2 linked regions of the Lonchura striata genome follow. The protein of the gene in region 1 interacts with the protein of each later gene in a pairwise test. Links are inferred from orthologs where the notes say so. Each region holds a gene or a part of one and is shown in the gene's direction. Other genes may lie near its edges.

Evidence for each region.
Region 2: the proteins of ZFYVE19 (region 1) and VPS4B interact in binary tests that used the Homo sapiens proteins (3 or more experiments, as listed by UniProt). The two-hybrid records come from large-scale screens. The link is inferred for Lonchura striata from reciprocal best matches to the Homo sapiens genes ZFYVE19 and VPS4B.

The regions. Positions count from the first base shown.
Region 1 is NC_134608.1:37,895,352-37,902,268, reverse strand, and holds the start of ZFYVE19 (abscission/NoCut checkpoint regulator), read left to right. Parts: upstream 1-3,895; 5' UTR 3,896-4,002; coding exon 4,003-4,056; intron 4,057-4,583; coding exon 4,584-4,705; intron 4,706-6,917. UniProt on the Homo sapiens protein: Key regulator of abscission step in cytokinesis: part of the cytokinesis checkpoint, a process required to delay abscission to prevent both premature resolution of intercellular chromosome bridges and accumulation of DNA damage.
Region 2 is NC_134603.1:96,375,694-96,383,682, forward strand, and holds the start of VPS4B (vacuolar protein sorting-associated protein 4B), read left to right. Parts: upstream 1-4,940; 5' UTR 4,941-5,061; coding exon 5,062-5,088; intron 5,089-7,717; coding exon 7,718-7,829; intron 7,830-7,989.

The DNA.
Region 1 (6,917 bases):
TTTTTAAAAATGTGTTGAGGACTGAAGACCTAATGCAAAGACCATTGAATGTTCTCTTTGGTGAGCATTTTAGGTGTGAAGTACCTTGTCTGTAGAGAGAAATCCTCCTCCTCTAAAGAGATAGCTGGAGTGGAGAAAGAAATTACCATTGTAAACACCTAACACTTTGCCTTGACTTGATGTATTCAGAATTAAATACTAATGCCAAACTGGGAGATGAAAACCCATAATGAATAATAAAATATTTTGCTGAAATTATGTCTTCGCGAAGAAGAGCACATAGAAATTGCCAATTTGCTTTCCTGGTGCAACCAAAACAATTTTTAATTATGATGACTTTGTAGCAGCAGGGGGGATGGGTTTAAGATCTGTAATGTTTTGCTTTTTAGGCACTGGTTAATTTTCACCCACAGAAGAATGATAATTGATAAGTTGTGGATGTCAGGGTTTAGAGCTTTCTTGCATCATGGTGGGAAAGTGCAAGCACAGCAGGCAACAAATATTTGTATTTCTTAAAAGCTCAAATCTTCCGGCTATAAAAAGCATTCCTTCATTTAATTTGGCTCACAATTTAGATTGGCATAATTTTGGAGAATGTAACCATTTCATCAGTATGTCAGAAAATTAAAATCTACTTCTATTTTTAAGCTCAGCTTCAGACTGCAAAAATGCTAATTCTTCTCCTTGAATCTGAGGACTTTGATGGAGGTGCAAAAGTAACAACCCCATGACAACTCTCATTATATAACAAAGTTGAACGGGTCCCTGTTTTAAACAGACAGTGCTGAACAGCTTTGTACTTGAGTATTACTTTAGATTGCCTCCCCTCAATCTGATGTGGAGCTCTTCAGATGTGCAATGTTTTAGATGTTTACTCATACTTGGTAAAAGAGCAAAAGCAATATACCACATACAGGAATACTGGTCTTGCACTAGAAATATGGTTTTAAGTAGAACATTGCCCATGTATAAATACACTCATATTCTGAACTATATGAAGGAAGAGTAATCAGCTAGTAGACACAAGGGACAGTATAGTCAAAAGTTTAGGACTCAAATAGTACAATAGGAGGATTTTCAGAAGTTCTAATATTAAAGTTCAGCAGTCACTTAACACACTATTTAAATCTAAAATGTAAGTATTTAACCATAAAACACAGAGGAATCTAGCAGTGAGGAATATATACATTCCCAGAGATGTACATAACTCATGACACAAACAGGTATTACCTTAATTGCATACAAAACCAGATGTTTCTAAAGAGAGAAGCACTTCCATAGGCCTGTGTGTGTGGAAGAAGTAAGAGTGTTTGTGTCCATGTATTCATTTTTTACCTGCTTTGAGACTGTCCTGGTTCCTGCCTGGGAGGCGAATCAGAGCCTTTGAGTGCTATGCTTTTGTAGGCTGTAAGAACCAGAATAGAGATTTGTCAATTATTGCTGCAGGAGAAAAACAGCCTGGAATAAAGCATTACAGAAGCACACAAAAATGTACAACTCATAGGTCTATTTTTGTTTTTAATTTAAAATACATTTCCCTTACATAAACAAATAACTGTGGTTGAGATGACACTTGCTTGCATGACTACAACCCTGGTTATTGAATAATAGAATAGTTTGGGTTGAAAGGGACATGAAAAGGTCACCTAGTCCAAATCCCTGCAATAAGCAATCATCTTCAACTAGACCAAGTTGCTCAGAGCCCCATCCCACCTGACCTTGAATGTTTCCAGAGATGGGGCATCCACCACCTCCCTGGGCAACCTGTTGCAGTGTCTCACCACCCACACATAAAAACTTTTTCCTTATAGCTAGTCTAAATCAACCCTACTTTAGTTCAAAACCATTGTCCCTTGTCCTGTCACAACAGGCCCTGCTAAAATTCTTATTCCCATCTCATATAAGCCCCCTATACGTATGAAAGGCTGCAATAAGGTCTCCCCAGAGCCCTCTCATCTCTTGACTCAACTCGACCTGACTCCCTCAGCATGTCCTCATAGGAAAGGTGATCCAGCTTCCTAATCATCTTTGTGGTCCTCTTCTGGATATGCTCCAACAGGTCCTTGTCTTTTCTGTGCTGAGGACTCCAGACCGGATGAAGGACTCCAGGTGGAAGCTGCCCAGAGCAGAGTAGCTATAACTATGTAGTACAGAGAATGTAAAATTTACTGTGCAAAACTGAGTTTGGCAAGAAGACACACAATCCAAACCCCATTTAATCTCTCCTGCACTTCAAATAGAATTGAAAACCTCATAGGCTAAGTAGGCACATAGGATTTTATAACCGAGTTCGCTTTACCAAGGGAAACATCCGCGGTCAAAAAACAGAAATTAAAGGAAAGCTGCTGCTGCTCTGCTGCTGCTCTGCTGCCAACTGGCTTTCGGCTCGGCAGCCGGAGAACGGCGGGGACCGGGCCCCCTCTGGCGGACACCGGCCGGGAGCGGGAACGGGGACGGGAACGGGCACGGGAGCGGGAACGGGCACGGGAATGGGAACGGGCACGGGAATGGGAACGGGCACGGGAGCGGGAACGGGCACGGGAGCGGGAACGGGAGCGGGCACGGGAGAGGGAACGGCAACGGCAACGGCAACGGGCACGGGAATGGGAACGGGCACGGGCACGGGAACGGGCACGGGCACGGGCACGGGCACGGGAGCGGGCACGGGCACGGGAGAGGGAACGGCAACGGCAACGGGAACGGGAACGGGAACGGGAACGGGAACGGGAATGGGAACGGGCACGGGCACGGGAATGGGAACGGGCACGGGCACGGGAGCGGGCACGGGCACGGGAGCGTGTAGCGCAGCTTCTGCAGCCGGGTGAGAGAGCGGCGTCTCCGCGGCGCGCTGGCACGGAGATGTATTTTCTCTACGAGAGCTGCACGCCAAATTGCACCTGCAAGTCGGTAGGTTGCACTGTAACATCAAGATTGAAGTCTCCTGTTCCTGTTTTCCCATTGAGCAGCTCAATAGCAAAGACAATGAAGCTTTTTATTTGAGTTAATATTTGTCTCAAGTCCCTGCTTTATGCCTACAATACCTGGAATGCCCGTGTGGTGTCTAACACAATTGCTGGACAGGTACGAAGTTTAGCTTCCACTTGTCTTTCTAATGTTTTTTACCATTAAAAAACCTAACCAAACAAAAAACCCAAAAAAATTGTGGCAAACAAATGCCAAAATTGAAAGAGTGAGAGAGAACCCTCTATTTTCCCCCTTTAAACTTAGCTTTATTCAGATATTAATGAGTTTTACTTCCTTGAATAAATCAGTCCATTTCCTAATTTAATTGTGTATGTCTTTACAACGTGGGGTTATATATTAAACTGGAAAGAATGCACAATGTACCTGCAAACCCACGCGGTTAACAGGATGACTCATTTGCACTCCGTGACTCTTTCTGCAAACACTGCAAGACATTTAACTCCTGAGGGCAGGCGGATCAACACTGGCAGAAGGATGGGCTGGAGATAACTTGAATTTTGCAGTTCAGCTGATTTTTGCTATTCTGAGCCAGGATCTCACCAAAGGTTTAGGACGAAAAACAAAAAAATCACAGAGCAGCTTGAGCGCAACACTGTCAGCCTTAGAGAATACACTTTCTTGTTTTATTAACACCCAAGAACAGCTAATGCCCCCTGGGCCATGGTGGGCAGGGGCACCAGACTGCATGTACCACAATGCATCGCGCGGCGATGGTAGCCGAGCCGGCCAGGCACTGGGATCGTGTGGAGCTCTGGGTAGTGTAGTTTATTTGTGGAGAGCCACCTAGCATCTGAAGGCGGGAAGGGAGAAGCAAGGGACTACAACTCCCGTAGGGCCGTGCGTCGCCAGCTCTGTGTTGTGTGGACGGGAGGGTGGCGTCCCCGGCTCCTGGCTTGTGGCATCCCCGCTCGCCACCGATCCTTGGGCCTGAGGCAGCCGCAGCCCCGGAGAGACCATGGAGCTTGGGATAGCGGGGGTGCAGCGCCGTGCCTGAGGGCGGGCTGGGGCGGTAGCGCCATGGATAGCCGGTGCTATGGGTGTGCGTCCAAGTTCTCTGTCTTCAAGAAAGAGGCAAGTCCGGCTGCGGGGGGTCAGGAACGGGCCGGTCCCGCGGGTTCCTCCCCCGCCGGGCGAGGGTCTGAGAAGGGAACCGGGGACTGCTTCGCCCGGCGCCGAGACACGCTTCCCGGCCAGCTTCCCGGCGATGTTGCCCTGGGTACTGAGCTCTCGTGTGACTAATTCCGATATGTCTTCAGATATGAGACATTACTGACCAAAAAACCAAAAAGTCATTGAATGCCGTCCCTCTCACCCAGGATTCTGGCATGATCTCAGACAATTCACACACACACACTTTGCTATACTATAGGGTGAAGTGGTGACTCTGCTCCCAGCAGGAGTTATCTGCTGGTGCTCCAAGGTTCTTGAGTCTCCATATCTTCAGCAGCAGCTGGTGAAACAGTTCTATCACATGAAAATCAGCATAACCCCAGCACTATTTTGTGTGTGCCTCGGCACGGGCACTGTGCCCGCCGGCGGCACCAGTGTGGTGGCGAGGTGCTGAAGCCCTGTGGTGCCCCTCTCTCCTGTCTCTGCAGTGTGGCTGCAAGAGCTGCGGACGCTCCTTCTGCTCGGCCTGCCGGAGCTTCAGTGCTGTTGTTCCCCGCTGTGGGAACACTCAGCAGAAGGTGTGCAAGCAGTGCTATGGAAAACTAACTGGGTAAGATGGGAGTGTTCACCCAGAGACAGTTTGCTGCTTTTTTCCTTCAGTTTACATTCCATGTGATGTTGCAGATTTCTGCAGGAGAGCTCTGCTTTCCATATGTTCATGGATGCTGCCTGTACCCTGGAACTTTAAGACAGGACATCTCTGAACTTGTTATTATATGAGCTGTGCAGTCATAAAATAGGAAGCAGGATTTGTTCCTGTTCTATGGTTGACAAAGTAGTTTGAAAGCATCAGGTTTAAATCTTCATGGATGGACACTGAATTCCTGTGGACAGTTTAACTAGATGGGCTGAGGTTAAGCCACAGTGTGTTTTTGCCCAGTTCTGGCAGTCTTCTCAGATGTGTATAGTTGAGTAGCCTGACAATAAGATGTTCAAAGTGTTATTAATTCTGTGGGCAAACTATGACATAAGTCCTTCTTGTTGAGGGATCTCTGTTTTGTGTGGCCTGAAGACATAAAGTTTTGTAGCCTAAAAGCTATAAAATTTTTGCTTCTAAAAGGAAACTTTAAAAATTATTTGCAAACCATTATTTGCAAAATAAGTTTTTTGCAAAAAATTATTTGCATAACCAGTAGACTTCCTGTCGAAAACAAAACATGTAATTCAGTAGCAGCAGGATTATACACTTGAACAAGCAACACAAGAACACAGGTGTATACCAGAATTCCTCTGTCAACCAATTCTTCTGTGTCCTCCTTTTTCTCTTGCATTTCTCTTGTTCCTTTTCCTCACTTTTCTCCTATAGCAAGAAATTTTCACCAGCAAGGGGGGAATTTTCTGGTTCTGCAGTTGTCTAAAGGAGAAGAGCCTCATTAGTGAAGGTCTTCATCTTCATGGGCTGCTGAAAACAGTGAAGGACAGTATTCAATCTTTTCAGTTTCACAATTTTCTGATTTCCCTTCATAACTTCAAAGCCATTAAGAAAACAGGGCTGCCTGTCTTGATGTTTCCTCTTGGTGTTTTTTTCTCATAACTTTAATATCAGCACTAGAGAGCTATAGCAGAAAAACAATCTTCTCTGACTGGATAGCAGGTAGATTATAGAATCATAGAACTGTCTGAGCTGGAAGAAACCTTAAAAATCATCTATTTCCAGCCCCTGTGCTGTGGGCAGGACACCTTCCACTAGACCAGGTTGCTAAGAGCTCCATCCCACCTGACCTTGAACACTCCAGGGATGGGTCATCCACAGCTTCTCTGGGGAACCTGTTCCAGTGTTTTACCACTCTCCAAGTAAAGAATTTTTTTATAGTAGCTAATCTAAAGCTGTGCTCTTTCAGTTTAAAACCATTCCTCTGTGTCCTGTCACTACATGCTCTTCATAAAAAGTCCTTCTCCATCTTTTGTGGAAGTTCCCTTCAGGTACTGGAGGCTGCAGTTAGGTCACCCTGGAGCTGTCTCTTTTCCAGGCTGAATAATCCCAATTCTGTCAGCCTTTCCTCATAGATGTGCTTCATCCTTATAATCAATTTGGCGGCCTCCACTGGACAGACTCCAACAAGTCCATGTCTGCCCTGAGCTGGGGACCCCAGAGCTGAATGCAGCACTGCTGGTGAGGTCCCATGAGAGAGGAAGAGATGGGTAGAATCCCCTCCCTTGCCCTGCTGGCCATGCTGCTCTGGGTACAGCCCAGGACACAGCTGGCTCTCTGGGCTGTGGGCACACATTGCTGGGTCACATCCAGCCTCCTATTCACAGCACTCCCAAGTCCTTTGTGGCAGGGCTGCTCTTGATCTGCTCATCCCCCAGCCTGTGCTGGTACCAGGAGTTGCTCCAATCTAAGTGCAGCACCTTGCACTTTGTCTCATTTAACCTCATGAGACAAGGGCCCACTTCTTGAGCTTGTCCAGGTCCCTCTGGGTGGCATCCTGTCCTGTAGGTAATACACACAGGCTGCAGTTCTGTAAGCTGCATATGTTGTTGTTCTTCATGCAAATAGCTTTCAGAATTGAAGCCTTAGAATGTTGGAAAGTATTCCAGCAATGTTGCATTCAGTCATTACTATATGGGCCTTAGCTGTGATTTCTAAGAATGAATAAAATATTCTAACTAACTTACATAAGTGTCTAGTTCGATCCCTCAGCCTGAACACAGCAAAGTAGAAGAGTTAGACATGTTTTAGGTGTGTAGTGTTTTAGTGTTTTGTAAGATGTTATATAAGAACTTTTGTAACACTTTGTTTTATTTGTATGTTATATAAT
Region 2 (7,989 bases), on another chromosome or scaffold:
GGTTCCAAGAGCTTCCTGCTTAAAATGAAAATTATTCTGCTAAGAGTGGCTTGGATCAAGAGAAAATTAAATGACCTCTCTATCCAGTTTTTCCTCCTTTCCATACCTAATTAAAAGGCTTAGGGGTTAATAAACAGGGATCCAGTAAGGAAATTCTAGCCCAGAAATCTAGTGCAGACTACACTGCTAGTGTAGCTCACAGCTAGTCTAGTCCCAGACCAGCTCTCTTTCCCTTTATCACTTTAATCATTCAGACCACAAGCCATTCAGTTTTGTTGGAAACACTGCTCTCTACAGTCATACAGGCAAAAGCCACTCTGAATGTAGCATGAAAAGTAAGCCTGGAAGCATCAGAGGCAGCTCATCAACCTTAAAACTTATTCATGCAGATGAATCCCTTGTTTTGCAACAGCCAAGTTCAGTTATTCTGCTGTATATTGGAATGGCAAAAGTTATTCCCCTGTCATGTGTTTAGAGGAGTCTGGTAATACTTTTAAAAGCACCTACTGGAGCAGAACTGCTTTTATGCTTCTCCCTGCCTAATACAATTCAGATTTCTGGTACTCTGGCAACAGTAAACACTACAGACTTTCTATTGCATAGGAGATTCATGGAAAGAAAATCTGGGTCAACTCACAGATTTGTGACTTTTTTAAGACAGTGAGACACATGCTGTGACAACCAGCTGGCTTGAACCCTTTCATAACACAGATTGTAGAACCTGATCTACCAATTTTATGAGACTCATGATTTTTCTTTGGGTTAGACCATATATTTTTGAAAAATCTGGCAGTGATCAAAACAGACCCCCAGTTGATGAGAGCATCTAGAATATCCTTAGGAGTTGTTCCAATAATTCCACAGGTCATCAAAATTTTAAATGAAGGCAGTATGAAGCAATCTGAAGCGCACAGTCCAAACTCGAACATTCTAAACTCAAAGAAGCATTGGCTGGGGAGCACTTTTTAAACTTTTAACAATAAAATCTCTTGAAGTGAATAGGGCTATATAAGACTGTTAAGTCCTGTGACTATGAAAACGTTTCAAAAAGAAATGCTGCTACACCAAACTCAACAATGCATAGCACAAAATCCCTGAACTCATATATGTCTAAAAGGGCTGGTAGTTTCCAGCTGGCAAAATTGTGTATTTTAAATGAAAATGAGTCAACCGATACATCCCTGAGGCCGTGTCTGCTCAACTGTACAAAAACCATAATTGAAGAGATTTTATTCCATTCAATTTCAACAAGTTATCAAGACCTAACAAATGAAATGCTATGCAGAAAAGACTTAGGTGAATTGTTTGCCCTTGGTCTCTACAGAGAATGCCCACGAGTGTCCCCATCCGCTGAGTTCAAGATGAGAAAAACCTCAGAAATCTCCAACCTTATGCTCATAGAGGGCAAATATTGCCCTTGAAGATAACACATGTGAAGTTAAGAAAAATACTGTTTCAGATTTCATTTTTATTCATGACAATTTCTGCTGGTACTCACGTAACAGTAAGGAAAAAAGTCCTGAAATTCACTATGCTAAATGTCATTCAAAAAACATAGTAGTAGAAGTGGATTGTATATTTCACAACTTAAGAAAATAAGCACATTTCTATTTCTATACTCTGTCAAAAGATCAAATGAACAGTTTTCAAAATGTGCCCTGAGTTATACCTGCAATCATTTTCTTAGGCTATTTTCATGTTGTGCTGGATTAATCTCACTATGAACTACAGGAATATGCATCCTAAGTCATTCCATTGGCTGGAATAAACTAATTTAGTCCAGAAGACAACACATTTTGTATATAGAAGTAGAGTGAAAATTAACATAACTAAAAAATATGAAGAGTTTAGCTCAAAAGTGACAAATTTAAGTTTTCTTTTCCAGGTAGGCACAGCCACACCCATTACTGTACTATGGCAGGAAATATTGTCACCATCCACCTCAGACCCATGAGATGGGGCAGAGTTGGATGACCATGAACTCCTCAAAACCCAGTGCTTCAAGTTTTGCCCCAAAGCTCATTCTTGTCTCTAATGCCATAAATGTAACACGGCTTTATTTTGTTGTCAGTCTTTCTGGTCCTGAACACAGCTTTAATTCTTTCCCTCCTAAGCTCTATAGCTGCACAACACCTTCTCTGCACACAAAGCACCAAGTGCTTTAGGAATAAGAGCTCTTAGGATACAGCTCTCCTCCATAAGGCTGCTGTGGTTTCAGTGCTATTAAAGGGGTTATGTATGGCAGCCATCCACCTGCAATTCTCCCAGCAGGACTCCCACAGGCCAGGCACTACGTAACAGGTAGAAAGGTTCCCCAACACAGCTGGTGGCTTGAAGTGCTCCTGCTTTTCAGCCCAGCATGGTTCAAAGAAGGGACCCAGCTGCACCACGAGTGCACTGCAGGTCCTGTCCCAAGTGCATGAGCTCATTATGTGTACACCAAACAGGATCGAGGTGCCACAATGGAATTTGGACAATCTGAATTTTACTTCTTAGTGTTGCTACTGACAGCCTTTGTTACCTAGGTCAGATTGATCTGACCAGATTCATCATCATTTCATCTGGTAAAGAAATACAGGAAAACAAGGCTATATTTTCCTGCCTTCTCTGCCTTGTCTGTCTGCACTGTAAAGGTCTCTGAGGCAGTGACTTCCCTTACCTGCATGGCTCTCACGTCATTTAGCTGATGCCAATCTCACTCTGATGGTAACATTAGTCATCTCTAGCCACTCCTCAGCTGCCACGGCGGAGGAGAATCATAGATACGACACCTGGTTGTGCTGCAGACACATGATCTATCTAGTTGATGCATCCATCTACTTACTCTTGGCCCAAGGTGACCAGGCAAGGTGAAGTGTAGGCCCCTTCCCTCCAATCCAAGGCATGGCAGCAGGAAGCATTCTCCACAACAGCTTACTCAGCCTTAGGAAACACAGATCATCAGTACCTGTGCCACGTAATGCCATAGCAATGTGAGCAATAATGCCCCAGGTAGTTATGGGATGGACTTAGTTGAGCCCAGTAGGTACCCATATTAACACCTTTAATATGCTTTATTTTCATTACACTTGTCATTCTTAGAATATAGTAACAAAGGAACTTCAGCACTGGGAAGTATTAGATAATGCGGCTGTAGTTGTTCCTCAAATGGAAGTAATGCCCTTAACATGACACTTCATTAGCTTCTCAAGAAATAATCTTGATGTCATTACTCAGCATTCATCTAGTCTTTCCTCAGGCAAAACTAGCTGCAAAGTCAAATCATAGCAGGAATATTGTATGAGTAAGACTTAAGTAAGGGCTGCAAAGTTTAGCCTGTTATCTGTAAATTACAGAGGTGCCTTTCCTGATTTACTTTCTTTAATCACATTTGCAGAAACCAGTCATTTTTTCTGGAAGCCAGTTCAGTGTGGCAGGAGAGGCATACTTACACTCTTGTGAGGTACGTATTGTTTTAGACCTCAGTCTAAAACCTAAATATAACATCAAAGAATTAAAAATCATAGGTACAGATGACACAGAATTACTAGCATCAGGAACATATCTGAAAATACTCTGTTACACCAACCAGAATGAGAAGGTAAAGCCAAAAAGGAAATGATACTCAAGGAAGTAGCTTGTTTTAAATAAAAAGAAGGTTAAAAATAGCCCAAAGGCTTCATTATGGCATAATCAACCATGAAAGAGTGAAAGGAATGGTTTCGCCTCATCCTTTGAAGATGGAATAAGAAAGAAATGGGTATACAATATTTAACCCTTGAGCCCCTCCCACCACTGATGCTATGCTTGAATCCTGATGACCACACAGCTGTAAGGTTCCTTTAGAAATCATCATCTCTCCTTCTAATTTGACCAATTTCAGTTGTCTTTAGTAGCAAACCCTCTTTACCATTTCATTTCCCAAAGCCTGATTACATGACCTAGTCTTTCCTACATCATGTCTTTACACATTTGCAGTCAATCCAAGGAGAACAGCTGTTATTGACAACATCTAAAAATCAACCAAAGCATCCTCAACTCGTGAGGACACTTACCAAAATAAACTGCCAGCCAGACAACATAGTGAAGAGATTCACCACGACCTTCCCTGGTACAGGGGGAACTGTGAATGTGCCTTTTTCCCTTGTATGCCCAGAGTATACAGCCTACTTGACTATATCAAAAAGGTTCAGAGACCTTTTATTACAAAATAAAATCAAAAAAGTTACATTGGAATTATTAAGTTAAAGCTGCACTGTGATAACTTGAAGGTATTTGGAAGAACGGGTTTTATTGCAGTTGAGTTTGCCAGATACTTTTTTTGCCCTGAAGAAATTAATGTACCAGAGGGAAAGATATGGCACTTATTTAGCAGATATCCCTGCATCCATACAGCAAGTTGGCTTTCCAGAACTGGTTCGTAATTGCTTGCGTGTTGAGTCACTTCCTCCTCCCCACTCTATAAGCATCGCACGTCAACTGATCTTTGTCACGAACCCACGGGCGAGTGACACTTGCCCATGACACTGTCATGCTTGATTAGACAGGATTGGGCCTGTTTAATCCGGAGAAAAGAGGACTGAGAGGAGATCTTATTTAATGCATATAAATATCCCCAAGGCAGGTGCCAAGAGGACGGTGCCAGACTCTTTTTGGTGGTGCCCAGCGACAGGACGGGGAGCAGCGGCCACGAACTAAAGCACGGTTAGCCGCACCCCAACATGAGGAAGAACCTCACGTTGAGGGTGGCCGAGCCCTGGGACCGGCTGCCCAGGGAGGCCGTGGGCTCTCCTGTGGAGAGATCCCAGCGGGATTGCACAGGAGGCTCCAAGAGCCGCGTTCCAAGCCCAAGCCCCAGCGGGCGAGCGCGGCCCGGGCAGCGCCGCGGCCGGGGCGGGCCGGGCGCTCGGGGCGTGCCCGGAAGCGGAGGCGGAAGCGGAAGCGGCGCTCGGGGCGGAAGCGGCGGCGGAGGCCGCGGTTCGGGCTCCGCGGGCGGCGGGGCGGCGGCGCTGCGCCACCGGCAGCCGGGCCCGCTCCCGCGCCACTCTCCCCCCGCTCCCTGCCCTCCCCTGCCGCTCCGCCATGGCGGCCAACACCGGCAACCTGCAGGTACAGCGGCGCCGGCCCTGCCCGCGCGGGGCGGGCCCGGCCGGCGGCGGCGGCGGGGGGCGGCGCCGGGAAGGAGCGGGGCCCGGGGTTCCCGGGCCGGGAGTGTTCCGGGGCGCAGGGAGCGCGGACGCCTCTGCTCAGCGGGCCGCGGGCACCGCGGTGGGGGGACTGCTCGGGGGGCAGAGCCCACGGGGTCAGCCCTCCTCGTCCCGGGGAGGGCGTCCCAGCCCCGCGGGACACGGGCAGCGAGGCCTGGTGCTCGCCCGGGAAGCGCTGTTGCCTCTTGTGCTCGGGACGCGTGGCTTGGCTTGTGTTGCCGTAAGGCTCCTGGTGGCTGTAGGAAGCCCTTGCCTGCTCTGCTGTTCCGCTTGTGTGAACCCTCGGCTGCGGGGGTGCGATCGGTGCTGAGGCTGGCCGGCGAAACAGACCCCGAAGTGAAATAACTGCGTTCCAAAGAGCCCCTTTTTCTCTTCGGCTGTTTGAACCGTGATCGTTTCTGTATGCGGTGTTTACACTGGCAGTGTGATGTTTGCATTGGCAAAGCTGGAGGAGATGTTACAGGATTTATAATAAGCAGAAGAATGACACCTCTTTAAACTGACATTCTTTCCTTGGGGGATGTTCATCAAACTATAAGCCCATGGCCGATAAACGTAGTTTGTGCCTTAGGCATAGTTAGAACTGGTCATCTATGCCCTAGTTCATACAGCTTTCTAATAATGATTTTCTGTTTGATAGCAGTGATGTTCTTCACAGTAACAGGCTAAGGTGCAGCTGATGTAATGAAGTATTAGAGCTGAGAATCTAATAGCCAGGTAATAGTCTTTGGCTGTTTACAAAAAGAGAGTGTAGCAAAACCAGGCAGTACATGATGCAGACTTTTGCCGATTTCAGAGCAACAGGTTTGTGACATGCCCTGTTTTCTCACCGTTCTGTTTTAGCACACGATCTTTGACATTTATTCTTTGGAATTAATGTCACCTGTCTTTCTTATACTGAATCCAGGAATTACTGGGCTATCCCATAGTAATTAAAGTCGCTAATGAGACTTAAGAACTTTAATATGAAAATAACATTTTGGGGGGTTAATTTTTGCTCTGTTGCTAGATTTGAATGGTGCACAGATATGCGTAAGGGAGTCAGCATAAAATGGGCAGCAAGGAGGTAGCTGTCCATTCATACCTGGGAAACTGCTCTTGAGCTCCCAGCCTCTCCAAGAAGGAAAGACTTAGCTTCTGTTCCAAAGAAACAGATGTTAAAGTGCTCCAGCACTTGCCACAACAGAGCCATAGTCTGTTTAATTGGTTCATTGCTTTTAAATACCTTTAATGTCAAGTAGATCTGTTGAGATGATCTTTGCTTCCAAGACATCAACACAAAGCAATAGAATGCAAGATTTTGCTGTTTTTTTCATGGCTATTGTTTACTAGCTTTGTTCTGCCTGAAACAGCAGAGTGTAGGTAGTGGCAAGAATATCTGTACTGGAATGTCTAATGGAAACTCCTTGCTGCAGCTCAAACTCTCAACATTGCTCCCTGGCGTTACATAATCATCCTGAGCAATGCTTAGGAAAGGGAACCACATGGGAAAAAATAGATGAAGGATTATAGACTATTTAGTTGGTGTTGGTTAACTGGCTGACTGCTTATTTTCAACTTACATGAGCCAGTGGTCAAAATGACAGTTTTAATTGTCTGGAAATGGTATGGTCATTCCAAGGAGTAAAGTGTAATAAAAAGTAATAAGCACTTAGGAGTGAGCAACGGAATAGTGGTGATACAATAAATCCACAAGGCAGTGTGTGCTTAGATCTCAGTCAGATTTACTTGAAAATAACTGAACAAATAAAGTAAAAATCCATTCATAGTTTCTCATAGAACTCTTTGATGCTTGAGATTTGGGTATGTTCTCTGTCTGTTTTGAGCTTTTTTTTCTCCTCTCCCACTGGAATGATAATTAGAATTTCTCACTAAGATATCAAGAGTCCGAATCCTCCTGGAGAAGCCAAGCAACTGGTCTTTGAAGATGTCTCCCAGCATAATGTTTGAAGAGTGATAGTGCTAGTTTCAGTGGTTGTAATCAGCTACTTCCTGTATTGACTTTGCTGTTTACAGGGTTTACTGATGTCATCAGTCATAGGATCATAGAATTGTTTAGGCTGGAAAAGATTTGAGTCCAGCCATTAACCCAGCGCTGTCAAGTGCACCCCTGAACCATGCCTTAAAACAGCATATCTGTATCATAGTTCAAAGTTTCTATGTCTGTAATAAAAAAACCCCAAGCCTTACAATGGATTTCCAGATTTTTTCATAATAAGTGCAAGAGTTTGGCAAGACAGACTGCATAGTAGTAGTAGTAGTTCCAGCTTAGTACACAGAAACTTCTTCTCACGTGTGCTTTTTTGTGTGCTAGTAAATTTCAGCAGGTTGTAAATCATGCTGTTCATAAAAGGATGGAAATATTGTGTTTTGTACAAAACACTACCTATGACAATCAATTGCCTTCAACTCTGAGGGGATAAATGTTGAGGAGCAGAAAAACTGGCCGTCAAATGACAGTAACAGCTTAAATGGTCTCTGATCATGGAAAATGCTCTTGTACAGCAATTAATTATTTGTTTGTGTTACAGAAAGCAATAGACCTTGCTAGCAAGGCAGCACAAGAAGATAAAGCAGGAAACTATGAGGAAGCCTTCCGCTTGTACCAACATGCCGTGCAGTATTTTATCCATGTTGTTAAATGTAAGTGTGATGTGTTGGATGATTAAGTAAAGTTTAGTCGTCAGATTGCACAAGAGTATTCTCTTATGTTGACATCAGTATTTAAATTTTTGCCCTCGTCAACAGTTGATACTTGCTAATTGTAGTTTGACTGAGGTCATATATTTTTCAGCTTTTACCT